Linked DNA regions of Cricetulus griseus. The protein of the gene in region 2 interacts with the protein of the main gene of each other region in a pairwise test. Links are inferred from orthologs where the notes say so. Each region holds a gene or a part of one and is shown on either strand. Other genes may lie near its edges. The genes, in order: Lsmem2, Gimap5 and Eda.

The links.
Region 1: the proteins of Gimap5 (region 2) and Lsmem2 interact in binary tests that used the Homo sapiens proteins (3 or more experiments, as listed by UniProt). The two-hybrid records come from large-scale screens. The link is inferred for Cricetulus griseus from reciprocal best matches to the Homo sapiens genes GIMAP5 and LSMEM2.
Region 3: the proteins of Gimap5 (region 2) and Eda interact in binary tests that used the Homo sapiens proteins (3 or more experiments, as listed by UniProt). The two-hybrid records come from large-scale screens. The link is inferred for Cricetulus griseus from reciprocal best matches to the Homo sapiens genes GIMAP5 and EDA.

The regions. Positions count from the first base shown.
Region 1 is NC_048597.1:215,778,290-215,782,619, forward strand, and holds the start of Lsmem2 (leucine-rich single-pass membrane protein 2), read right to left. Parts: upstream 2,906-4,330; 5' UTR 1-2,905. Other genes in the region: Sema3b (semaphorin-3B), read right to left, coding at 3,484-3,888, 4,299-4,330.
Region 2 is NC_048601.1:98,479,164-98,482,655, forward strand, and holds Gimap5 (GTPase IMAP family member 5), read left to right. Parts: upstream 1-1,471; coding exon 1,472-1,499; intron 1,500-2,055; coding exon 2,056-2,930; downstream 2,931-3,492. UniProt on the Homo sapiens protein: Plays a role in T lymphocyte development and the optimal generation of CD4/CD8 double-positive thymocytes. Inhibitor of GSK3A, possibly by sequestering GSK3A in cytoplasmic vesicles and impairing its translocation to the nucleus.
Region 3 is NC_048604.1:70,349,000-70,353,299, forward strand, and holds the start of Eda (ectodysplasin-A), read right to left. Parts: upstream 2,880-4,300; coding exon 2,484-2,879; intron 1-2,483. UniProt on the Homo sapiens protein: Cytokine which is involved in epithelial-mesenchymal signaling during morphogenesis of ectodermal organs. Functions as a ligand activating the DEATH-domain containing receptors EDAR and EDA2R. May also play a role in cell adhesion.

The DNA.
Region 1 (4,330 bases), on a different chromosome or scaffold from region 2:
GTTATAAGGCACACAAGATCACACCTAGCTGGGTACTGGGATCCAAACTCTCATTTTTTGGTTTTGTTTTTTAAGACAGGGTGTCTCTGTCTCACTCTGTAGACCAGGCTGGCCTCGAACTCACAGAGACCCACCTGCCTCTGTCTTCAGAGTGCTGGGATTAAAGGCCTCACCACCACAAACTCCGATCTTCATGGTTATGCAGCAAGTGCTTTTAATCACTGAGCCATCTCTCACCTCACCCCCCCATTTTTTAATTTTATTTTATTTTATTTTTTTTTTTGTGATAGGTTCAGAAAGTTCCCAGACTGGTCTTGAGTTCCTGGTTAACTCAAGTTACCTTTCTGCCTCAGCCTTCCAATTGCTATCAATGTCTCTCTGACTTCTAAATAACTATAACTCTGCTTTCCTCTGGCATTATTTGACTGGATATGTATTTTTGAAACAGTCTCACTACGTGGCTAGCCTAGAACTCATTATGCAGACCACGCTGGCCTTGATCTCACAGAGATTCTCCTGCCTCTGCCTCCCAAGTGTGCACCTCCAAGGCCTTCTATTGGATTTGGTTGCTTTAGTTCTGATTCCACAAGCGCTCCCGATGCCTGCAGAGGGATAGGTAGCGGTGTGCCAGAGTGCGGGGCAAGGACTGCACTGGGCCCTCTAATGTGCTTGAAGCTGCCCCTTGACAGGCTCACAAGCAATTCAAACAAAAGCAGATGCTGTCAGTCCTCAAGCCTGGCTGACGGACTGAGGTCACATTAAATACCCTCTGCACTTCACTAATTCTCCCATACCTTATATTTGGGCATATTTTATTTGCTATAGACAAAAACACATGGTAGATGTTACAGTTAAGTCATTGCCGCCCCCCACCCATAAAAGATACACACACACACACCCCTTAGTAGAGGGCAGGCCCTTTCTCTGGTTAGATCATGCCAGAGGCATGTCTACTTCCCAGTCCCTGGGCCAGACGTTGAAATGCTTCCTGGAACCGCGTCGCACCCCAACCCCAGCCTCTTTGCTGAAGGAAGAGCTAAATTGCTTGGCAGCTCCCCAGATGCCCACACCCACTTGGGTAGAGTTGTCCCATTCTTAGGTAGAAAGCTGTGGTCCCTCTCCCTGGCCCATAGCAAGGAAAACTGAGGCAGGACCTGCAAAAGGGAGTTCTAAGTATGGCAGGTCCATTCTTTGTCTGTGCATAGGGATTGGTGTCTAGAACAGGGATATGAAAAGACTACTCAAGGCTGTGAGGTCTCTCCATGAGCCATAGGGCCATAAAGCTTTGTCCTCCCCCATGGCTACCCTCTCCTACCTTCTTGGGTCTCCTCAGGCATGGCAGTTGATACGTATAGTCAGGGGCCAGATGAGAGTGACCAGTAGCAGAACTGGACAAACATAGCAGTGGCTCCTTTAGGATCCTGGGAAAGGTCTGGCTGCCTCCCAACCTGGTCTTAAAATAGGTCTGAGCTCACTTCCCTGGGCTATATTTAGAGGGGGCATCTCCAAGCCGTGAAAAGGGGCAGAGTGACCCAGATGGACTGACCTAGACTACCTACTCGGTGATAGGGCACAACTAAGAGCTAGCACATGGGCCCAGGGAACTTCTCTGAAAGCCATAGCAACTCTATACACACATAGGCCTTGGGGTCCCCATCCCGGTCAGCAGGCAGCATATGGCATGTATGACAGGAAAGAAACCCTGCTCATCTCCCCTCAGCCATCCCTCACCCCCATAGACCCTGCACCCACAGCCCAGCCATTTCCTTCCAGCAAATGTGAGATGAGCGTGTGACCACCTAGCAGCAGATATTGGGGGTGGTGGACAACTGGAGCACAACACCATAAGGATCTGGCAGCCCCCAAGTGGACACTCATGCTGGCTGGTGGACAGACTGGGATTAAAAGCTGGTATTTCTAGTATTAAGCTGTAGCCTTATGTAAAGAGGACCTTGAGAGTGGCCTCTGTTTTCCCATCTGTAAAACAGGAGCAAGGAGCCAATTGTACTGAGAATAAAAATGCAGAGACATGACTAATGTACTTAGCACAGAGTAGTCTTGGTCCTCCCTCCCCCTCCTCTCCACAAGGGCTTAACAGGCCACGTGAAGGCATGTGAGGATGGACGCTCAGCGACATTGCACACTCTTGAAGAGCTGGTCCAGTCTCCAGGCCTTAGTCAGTTTGTGAACTCTGTTCTGCTTCTTCTGGACGGTGCACAGCAAGACTGTGGGAAGGGTCTACCTTCCAAAACATCCTGAGTCCATCATGTGGCACCCATATTCGCCTCCTTGTCTTCCTCAGACTTGGCGGGCTTGTTCCCTGCTCCAAGGCTTTGCACTGACTGGTTCTTCCATTCTGGAATGCTCTGCCTCCAGACATCTGTGACTGGTTCCAACTGGTTCCCTCTTATCTTTCGGCTTGTATCAACCCTTCAAGTGAGTTCTGCACACATTCTTGCCCACAACATGCAGTACTGTTTGTTTGTTTTTACTTCAGAGAGCTTTGCCCTGCCATTACTAGCTGCAGGATGCGCTGTGCATGTCAGCCCCCCAGAGGCTCACTGGAGCCAGCTGGGTCATCTAATACCACTTCCAATCTTCACTACAGCAATCTTTTTTTTCCCCCAAGACAGGGTTTCTCTGTAGCTTTGGAGCCTGTCCAGGCTAACCTCGAACTCACAGAGATCCACCCGCCTCTGCCTCCTTTGTGCTGGGGTTTAAGGTGAGTGCCACCCACCGACAAGCAGAATGGCAATCTTGAATGAGAAAAATTCAGGATTTAAGACTGCTAGGACAGGGGCTGGAGAGATGGCTCAGAGGTTAAGAGCCCCGACTGCTCTTCCTGAGTTCAATTCCCAGCAACCACATGGTGGCTCACAACCATCCGTTATGAGATCTGGTGCCTTCTTCTGGTGTGCAGATATACATGGAAGCAGAATGTTGTATACATAATAAATAAATAAAATCTAAAAAAAAAAAAAAAAAAAAGGACTGCTAGGACAATGCCGGAGACTCCCAGCAAGGTCAAGGACCAGCTGTTATCTGCTGGGGCCATTCCAACGTCAGCTGATAATGTGTTTATTGCATTACTTTAGTACAGTTGCCCTGCCTCACTCCAACCCACAGTCTAATCTGCTACAGCTTCCTGCTCACTGCCCAAGAGAATGCTTGCCCCAGGACAGGCACCCAAGACAGCTCTCTGGCCCTGGTCTACACCGGAGCCCCACTTCTCTGTCCCCTCCCTCCAGGCTAGATCCTGAATTGAGCCTGGACCACTCCTCTGAGACTACATTCGCGGGTTATCTTGTTAATAAATAAGCTGGCTCGGCTACCCTTTGGCCAGGGCCGATGTATAAGTTAGGTGTCTCTATTGGTCCAAGGACCTCAGTGTGCCTCAGCCACAACTCATGTCTTCCTGATGTCTGTCTGTCCCCTTTTCTGAGTGTCATATCCAGCCTGGTCCCCCGTGTGATGACAGCCCAGTCACCAGTGTGCTGCACTACGTGGCCCACGCTCAGCACGCAGCTCAGAGGCCTGCATCCGCCTGTTGCGACCCTTACGACGCGATTCTGTTGCCACAGAGGAGGGTCTGGGCTGGGGGTGGCACATTCGCAGGGAGTTTGCCCCTCCACTGCCGCCTGGCTCCACCAGTTGTAGAAAGTCCCGGTACCAGAGCTTGGGGCCTGGTGGTGCAGGGGCAGCTGCCTCCTCAGCCCGCGCCAGTCGTTCGGCCTGTACGGCACTCAGCACGTGCAGCACCAGGCGACGCAGGGGCTGTGAAAAGCCTTGCTCAACTGCGACACACAGATACACGCCAGAGTCCTGGCGCCTCAGACCACGCAGCAGCAGCCCCCGCGAGGTCCGCTCAGCTCGCTCATCAGCCAGCACCTGTGTGTGAGGACAAGCACAGAAACAGAAACAAAGGGTCACTGGGAGCCAAAGCTAGACAAGGAAAATAGGTGGTGGCAGTACTCACTAAAAGGCTAGGTGCAGAGGGATGGGCAGCCTTGGAACGGAGATCGAGGGTCACTCAGATGGGGGAGGAAATAGACTAGAAACCTCAACACATGGGTGGGTTGAGGGCCCTCTCCTTCCAGATGGTGGAGGGTAGGCCAGGACTCTAGCTGGACACAGTGGGACATCACTGATGGACTGTGGCGTTCAGCTAAGGACGGAACAGGATGGGACCTATATGGAGCCTGACTCTGTAGCCTCACTGAACTGGACTTCTATGGGGTACAAGCCAAAGGCCTCCTTAGGCAGTCAGGCCTAGTTAGGAAGGGTGGAGGGAGGCACACCTGGGTGTGAGCCACCTCCCCTGCACGATGGA
Region 2 (3,492 bases):
CTGTTCTTGGAAATGACCCCCATGACACTTGCACCCTAGTTTATCTTCATAATAGCATGCCATGATTTTCTGACCATGTTTTTAAGGTACTGTGGTAAAGGATATGGGAAAGAATGGTATAATTACTGTTGCCCGATGAGACTAAGATAATCTACTCAAGGCCAATGTTTATGACATTTCCACAGTGTTTCCAAGCGTGGCCTGCACCTGATCTCTTCTCTAGTCTCTTCCAGTCCTGCACAATGCCATGGAGTGCATCCTCGGAGGGGCATGGGGAAGCTCTTCCACTTTTGCTAGCTCTGAGGTCCAACCAGGGGCAGGAAATACCTGCTGCACACCCACCGATCCTTCCACCAACTACTTAAAAATGAGTGGCAGAGCTGATGGCTGTGAGGTGGGTGGGGCTGGTGGATGGCTGGCTCCCAGTGGGCTGGCTGAGGGCACAGTGCTGTCCCAAGAGGGTGGTGGCTTAAAATAAGATACCCCAAAGGGGACAGAAAAGGTGACAGTCATTTTACTGAAGGAGTGTGGGTTCCCACTAGAGGAAGCACGGGAGAGGGAAATGTGTAAGCATTTGAGACAGTCTCAAACCTAAAGAAAGCTCCGGCCCTTGCTTTTGTTCCTCTTTTTGATCAGGCTGGATCTGGAGACAGCAGCGGTTTGAAGCACTCACTTTGGGTGCATGACCTGCCTGCCACCTGTTGCTTGGCCAAAGGCATCCTATGAGTAGTCCTGCCTGAGAGAGTAGTCAGCACCTAGGGGCAAAAAACAGCATGCAGGGAGGAAAGGAAGGGCCCTGGAAGAGAGATGCCCTCAAGGTGTCTGCAATCCAGGACTGAGATGGAAACAGAGACACTGTGACCTCAGGAGCACAGCACACTAGTCAGTCACCTCAGGACTTTGCTTTTCTTTCCCTCTGCTTCCTGGGCACATCCCACCACTCCCCAACCTGGCCCGACAACAGAATCCTACTCCTGGGTGAACAGCCAGTCCTGGTTTGCCCAGCCCTTTCCCAGTTTGGACAGAGAAAGCCCTGTTGTCTGGACTCAGCTAAGCTCCAGGCAGAGCAGGAGGACCACTGCCATGGAACAAGGGAAGAATTACATTTGTCTCTTGGAGATGCTGGGCGTAGAGAGCAGCCTCTAGTGCTAGGTTCCCAAAGAACCCAGACAGCCATGTTCTCAGTAGAAATAACTGACCAGCTGAAGTGACTGTTATTGTGGGTACACAGCCCACTTTCGTTCTGCCTGTGGGCTGAAGAAAAGTCCTGGTGACAATGTCCATGTGATCACATGACATGCACCCTTTTCTTGGGTCTTTCTGCTTTGAGTCATTTAGAACTACCTGTAAGTATGTGTGTGACTCCATCAGTTCTTTCTCTTTGGCTTGATTTCCCTTCCTACAAGATGATGTGTTTGGTGCTGCATATTATATTCAAATCTTCGCATATTTTCCCTTCCAGAAACAAGAAATGGAAACTCTTCAGATAGTTGTGAAAGGTACCTTCCCCGAAGGTAAGAAGGCTGCTGTGGGTGGAACTGTTTTCAACTGTCAAGGACCACTGCTCAGTGCCTAGAAAGGGACAAACCTCCCTCCAGGCACCTACAGCAAGGCAAGTGTGCCACCAGATAATTGAACGTATTAGGCCATTAACTGTCAGAGTCTCCAGAGCAAGGGCAAGTTCCCCAAGGTAATAACCTGCAGTTGTGTAAAACAGAGACCAGGGAGGGTGGGAGGAGATGAAGATAAGGGGACAGATGAACAGAATGGCCAGGCGGAGATTACCCTGAGCATTCTACATTGGCTTACCACTTCATGCCTAGACAGAAAGAAGGTCCTGATGAATGGTAAAATTGGATTGGTGAATCCCCAGGGGAAAGACGCCTTGGACTCTGACCATCAGAAGCACTTTATCCCACAAGTCCGGAGTGTGGTGGTATGGGGTGGTTAAAGCAGAGGGAGGGAGTACTGATTGGTTTGCACTAGTTCCTGTCAGTTTTGTCTTCTTCTTCACCAATCATTTTTTCACACCCGAGCCTCCCTTTACTCCCAAAGGCAGAAAGAAAGATGGCTGCACCCCAGGATCACCTCCACTCAGGATCCTCCTGGTGGGCAAATCTGGCTGTGGGAAAAGCGCCACAGGGAACAGCATCCTCTGCCGACAAGCATTCGAGTCCAGGCTCAGAGCCCAGTCAGTGACCAGGACCAGCAAGGCAGAGATGGGCACATGGAAGGGAAGGAGCTTCCTAGTGGTAGACACACCACCCATCTTTGAGTCAGAGGCCCAGAACCAAGACAAGGACATTGCAGACTGCTATCTGCTGTGTGCCCCGGGACCCCATGTACTGTTGCTGGTGACCCAGCTGGGACGCTTCACCGCCCAGGACACCATAGCCGTCAGGAGGGTGAAGGAGATCTTCGGGGCAGGAGTCATGAGGCACATGATCCTCCTTTTCACCCACAAGGAAGACCTGGCCAATGAGACCTTGGATGAGTTTGTGACCCACACTGACAACCACAGCCTGCGCAGCCTGGTCCAGGAGTGTGGGAAGAGGTACTGTGCCTTTAATAACAGGGCTTCTGGGGAAGAGCAGCAGGGGCAGCTGGCAGAGCTCATGGCCCAGGTGAGGGCGCTGGAGCAGGAGTGTGAGGGCTCTTTTCACAGCAATGACCTCTTCCTTCATGCCCAGGAGCTCCTTAGTGGTAACAACAGTGAGCGCCAAGAAGCCTACAGGTGCTACCTGGCCAAGGTGAGGCAGGAGGTGGCGAGGCAGAAGCGGGAGCTGGAGGAGCAGGAGGGCAGCTGGGTCCTCAAGGTGCTTCTCAGAGGCACAGAGTGGATGGCTGTGCACGCTGGGACTTGTGCTAGTTTTGTATTGTCAGTACTAATATTCCTTGTTATTTTTCTGCTCATATGTTTTAATGTGTGATGCTCTGTACTTCAGAGATGTTTCTAAAGCACCATGCCGGGATGCTTTGCTATGAGCATAACCTTCAGAAAACCACTCTGCTGGTCTGTGAGACGTTGCTACTCTGAGCCTCTTCTTTTTCCCCCGTTAGAATTCCTATTTGCATTAGGCAAAGCTCACAGAGTCCTGTGGAGCAGGAGCAGGAAGGATCAGAGGAACCAGAGGGGTCAGGGACACCAACAGAGAGAACACAACCCACATAACTAACTGACCAGGATTCATGAGGGCTCACAGAGATCAGGGAGCCAGTAGCTGTCTGACCTGCAGGTTCCCTGCATATATGTTACGGCCAAGTAGTTTGATGTTCTTGGGGGATTCCTGACAGCGGGAGTGGGGACTGTCTCTGACTCTTCTGCCTGCTTATGGGACCCTTTCCTCCTACTGGGTTGGCTTGTCTAGCCTTGATATGATAGTGTGTGCCTGGTCTTATTGTAGCTTGTTATGTGATTTTGGTTGGTGTCCCTGCTCTTTTCTGAGGGGAGATGGGGGGTGGATCTAGAGTGGAGGGGAGGTGGTGGGGTAG
Region 3 (4,300 bases), on a different chromosome or scaffold from region 2:
ACCCAAATATATTGCCCATGGGGGGGTGCATGTTTTTGTCTCTGATCCTCTCTGTACAAAACTTGCTGTAACGGCAGCTGTTTATGTTAAAAAACTAAAATATAAAATATGACCTACGTGACCAAGTCCCAGGAGGCTGTTTACTTCCTTATTTATGAATCAGAATCTGTCAGCACAACTTAGAAGTTTGATTGTCAGCAGTTAGTACAATTAAATGTCACTGCAAAACCAGCAGAGGGTGCACCAGGGCACTAGAAATTTTACCCAGATATAGCACATCAATTTAACTCAATTAGCCAATCAACTTTTCCTTTATTTATTTATTCATATATTTGCTTATTCATATGCTAAAACTAATATCCTCAAGAGAAACAAGTTGAATCTGAGTTAACACTTCCTCAGTTATATTCCAGTTTTCCTGAAAGTTAAGTTCAAGACAAATAAGGAGTATATGGTTAAACTTAGCCTGGTCAAAATGTAGTTAGAGCAGAACAAAACGACACAGATTTGAGCCCTTCATTTTGTAAAAAGTCTACTATGGAGTTCCAACCTGTGGTTGCCTCATTCCCCTCAAAAAATTTTTTTTGGTAGATACTATTTTATGGGGTAATATGTACTAAATTGAAGATGAAGACCCAACTTCATCCTAGTTTTGACTCAAGCTATGATATCTTGGGCCATTTACTTCTCCCTCGGGGGCTATAAGTTCTCCAAAGGAATCAACAAAATAGACTTAGGTGGTACCTTACAAATCTGAAAAACTTCAATTCCAAGTTGATGCCAATAATTGTAAAGAGCTACTATCATTGCTTTGACTGTCCCAAAGGACTAATCTAGAAAGATTCTAAAGGAAAGGAGATGAGAAACTGTGTTGAAACACCTAAGTATTTTAGTGCTACACAAGTGTAGGCAACTAAATGCCATGACAAAGCCATGAGAGTCCCAAGCTATCCCAGAAGCTCTAGAATACAGCTGTCCGCCTAATCCTCAGTCCATGAACATGACTCTGTCCACCCTGAATGCCCAAAAGCCTTGACCACCAGTTGACTAGAGAAGTTGAACTCTCTGATACTTTTTACAGAATATTAATGTGCAGCTGCTAAGTATTTCTATGGGGATGAGGAGGGGGAAGATAAATAAAAGATCCAGAGTCCTAATTAATTATCACCCAGCCATAGTGTTTAAAGTTTCAGGTATGAGGAGCATGTCTGCAGATTCTTTTCTATGATAAGCTGTTATATAAGTTGGAGTATGTTTGAAAGGCATTTTAGGGCTGGGGCATTTTTACAAAACACATTATAAAAGAGAAAAATGTCAGTCCTGACAGAGATTGTTATGAATGTGACAGCTCTAAAGTGTACAAGTTTGAAGGTCAAAGTAGCACAAATAATGTTTAAAGAGTTGTGACAATGACTATGGACCAAATACAGAAGGCTTCCATGTGTCACTTCAAGTAAGTTACTTATACAACTTGTTTTCTCAAAAGGGTACAAACTAACCATTAGTCTTTAACCACTCAAAAAGATCCTTGGTTGCTTTGCCTAAGATTCACATGTAAGACAGCTTTGGCAACCACGAGAGTATTTAATACCAAGTACATTGAATTTACTTGAAGAAAGAATTAGGAAAACAACCAAGCTAATGGTTTGCTAAAAGGGATACAAACACTCTAAAGAATACCAAAAACAAAACAAAAATCCAACTTCCTGTTCTGAAGCTAGCGATAATGAAAACCCTTCACACCCACTGCACCCCACTCCATCAAGAAGAGTGTCAGAACCGGCATGCAAAGGGTGAGTTTTGTTTCCATAGATTTTTTAAATTGCTGTTCAGAAGTTGTCTAGCAAGACGGCATATTTCTACCAGAATTCCTCAGGGGCGCTGATCCTCACGAGAACGCTGAGGACAATCGGTCTCAAATTGCAGGTAAGTGTGAAAAAGCTCACATTCTGGTCAGCGCACAAGAACCCGGCGCTGAAAAGTACGGTTAAAAGTTGTTTCAGCGGGCGTGGAACAGTTATTACAGCTGTTTACAGCTCCAACTCCAAAGAGGAGCCTGCTAGTGCTGGCATCAGCTCGGGACACGAAGAAACAAGCACCGCGGGCAGGGAACCTCACCAGGGGCACCAGGGGCCAAGCTGCTCGCCGTTAGACGGCCACGGGGGCGGCGCAGGCACCTCTCCGCCGGCCCGGGTGCGAGCCCGGCCAACTTTTCCCCGAAGCAGCCCACACCCCCCGGGGGCGGCGCAAGCAGGCTGGGCTTTCCAAGTCCTTGGGACCCGAGAGGGTCTGGATGAGCCAAGCCAAGAACTGAGAACAACCTGCCCCGGACAACCTCTCCCTAGCTCTCCGGCCCACTCCCAGGTCCTGCCCTGTAACTTGGCTCGGAGTGGCAGAGTCCCCCAAGCCCTGAGGCGCAGGCCCCCACCCAACCTAGCAGGGGAGGGGGCCTCCAAGGCCGCCGCCCCTCCTAGGTGACTCACCTGGTGCCGGTCCTGGGAGTCAGGGGGGAGTGGATCTTCTCCTGGTTCCAAAGGCTGCTGTTGAAAGGGCGGCTGCCCGAGGTGGCGGGTGATGGGACCCACGGGGTCGAGGCTACCAGGGCTACTTAGGGTGCCAGAGGTGCCAGGAGCACCCGGGCCGCTGAGGCGGGACTCGGTTCCCCGTTCCCGCCGCAATTCGGACCGCAACTCTAGGTAGCAGCACAGCGTCAGCAGGTGGAGGGCCAGCGAGAGGCCAAAGAAACCCAGGAAGAGCCGGCAGCTGTTCCCTTCGCCAGCCCGAGCGGGGGCCCCGCGACAGCCGCAGCCCTGGCTGCCCCGCTCCCTTGGCGCTGCTGCGGGCAGGGGTTCCCTGCGCTCTGCCTCGGGGTAGCCCATGGCCTCCAGAGACAGCCACTATCTGAGGCCCGGGAGCCTCTGCCTCTGCCTCAGCCCTTCGCGACCCCTGACAGGCGGCTACTGTCCTGCCATCGGCTGGGGGCTGCAGGGACCCGTTCCTGAGCGACGGTGGCTGGGCGGGACAGAACAGGGAGCAGCCGCATGTGCAGCTCCACTCCGAGGGGTGGGAAAGGGAGGAGGAGGGGCGGGAGAGAGGGGCGGCGCGGCCCAAGAGGGAATGAGGGAGGAGGTCCTCACCTACCCCGCCCCATGCCTCAAGGGGCGGCCGGGACGCCCAACCACGGGCCCGCCAGGTCTGGGCGCCCCGCCTCCTGCTGTTCCACTCGGGCCTCCAGCCGTGGGGCGGGGCCTGGGGGCGTGGGGGTTCACCTCTGCCTGGCAGCCCCACCCAGCTCTTCCCGCTTGCCCCGTTGCAGTTGGTGACTGCCGCTGTCGTTCATCTCTGGACTCCACCCCGGTTTAACCCTTCGGCAGCGCCGCTATGGGGGAGGGCAGGAGGGGGAGGCTGAGAAGAATTTGGGAACCTTGGAAAGAACGTGGAGTAAAGAAAAGGAGGCAGAAACTAGCATTAATAGAAATGTTTGCAATTAACTGCAGTTGTTAATAACATCATCCAGTACTTATCTGTTGCTTTCAATCTTCAAAGCGTTTAACAGACGTTAAACTAATTAAAACAGTTCAGGGTTTGGAATGAAACCATGCCTGCTGTGTTTGCAATTCAATGGCTCCCAGAAGAAAAGGAGACCTAGGAGCCTGGGAGCCAAACAGACTGGGAATCAGGATGTCTCACTCCTAGAGTGAGTCTGGGGGCACAGTCAAAGCCTAGTGCCAAGTGCCTAGTGGAACTGAAGTGATACTATCCCTTGAAGGGTAATACAGTTTCCTAGGATTTCTTGACATATTAATTCATTCAACAGATATGCATTAATCCTTTTCACAAGGCTGAAAGTGTTGTGTGAGTGAGCCCACAGCCAAAAGTTTATCTTCTTCCAGGGCTGCAGAAGTTTTGAAAGATCACGAGCCTTCCAAGAGCAGGTGGGTAAACTGAGGGTCACAAAGAGGTGAATTTTTACAAGGGTGGTCCACAGAATGGCCAGACACTATTGTCATCTCTACTTGCAGACAACTGTTCTGGCCTCTCCACCCTTCCCATGCTTCCCCTGGAGTACTCCCTGGGGGAAGTTCAACAAGTCAGCCAAATGTTCCAGATGTACATGCTGCAACTGCAGCATCTTCAACAGCTGCACCAATCAGAAACAGGGTCAGAGAAAAAAATGGCAAATGTCAGAACAATAGACCTGGAAATGAAGGATGGAAAAGATTAGTTGTCAAGAGTCAAAATTGACAAGCGTTACTAGTCTCAGATTTTAGAGACTTAAGTAGCTGCAGCATAGTAAGCA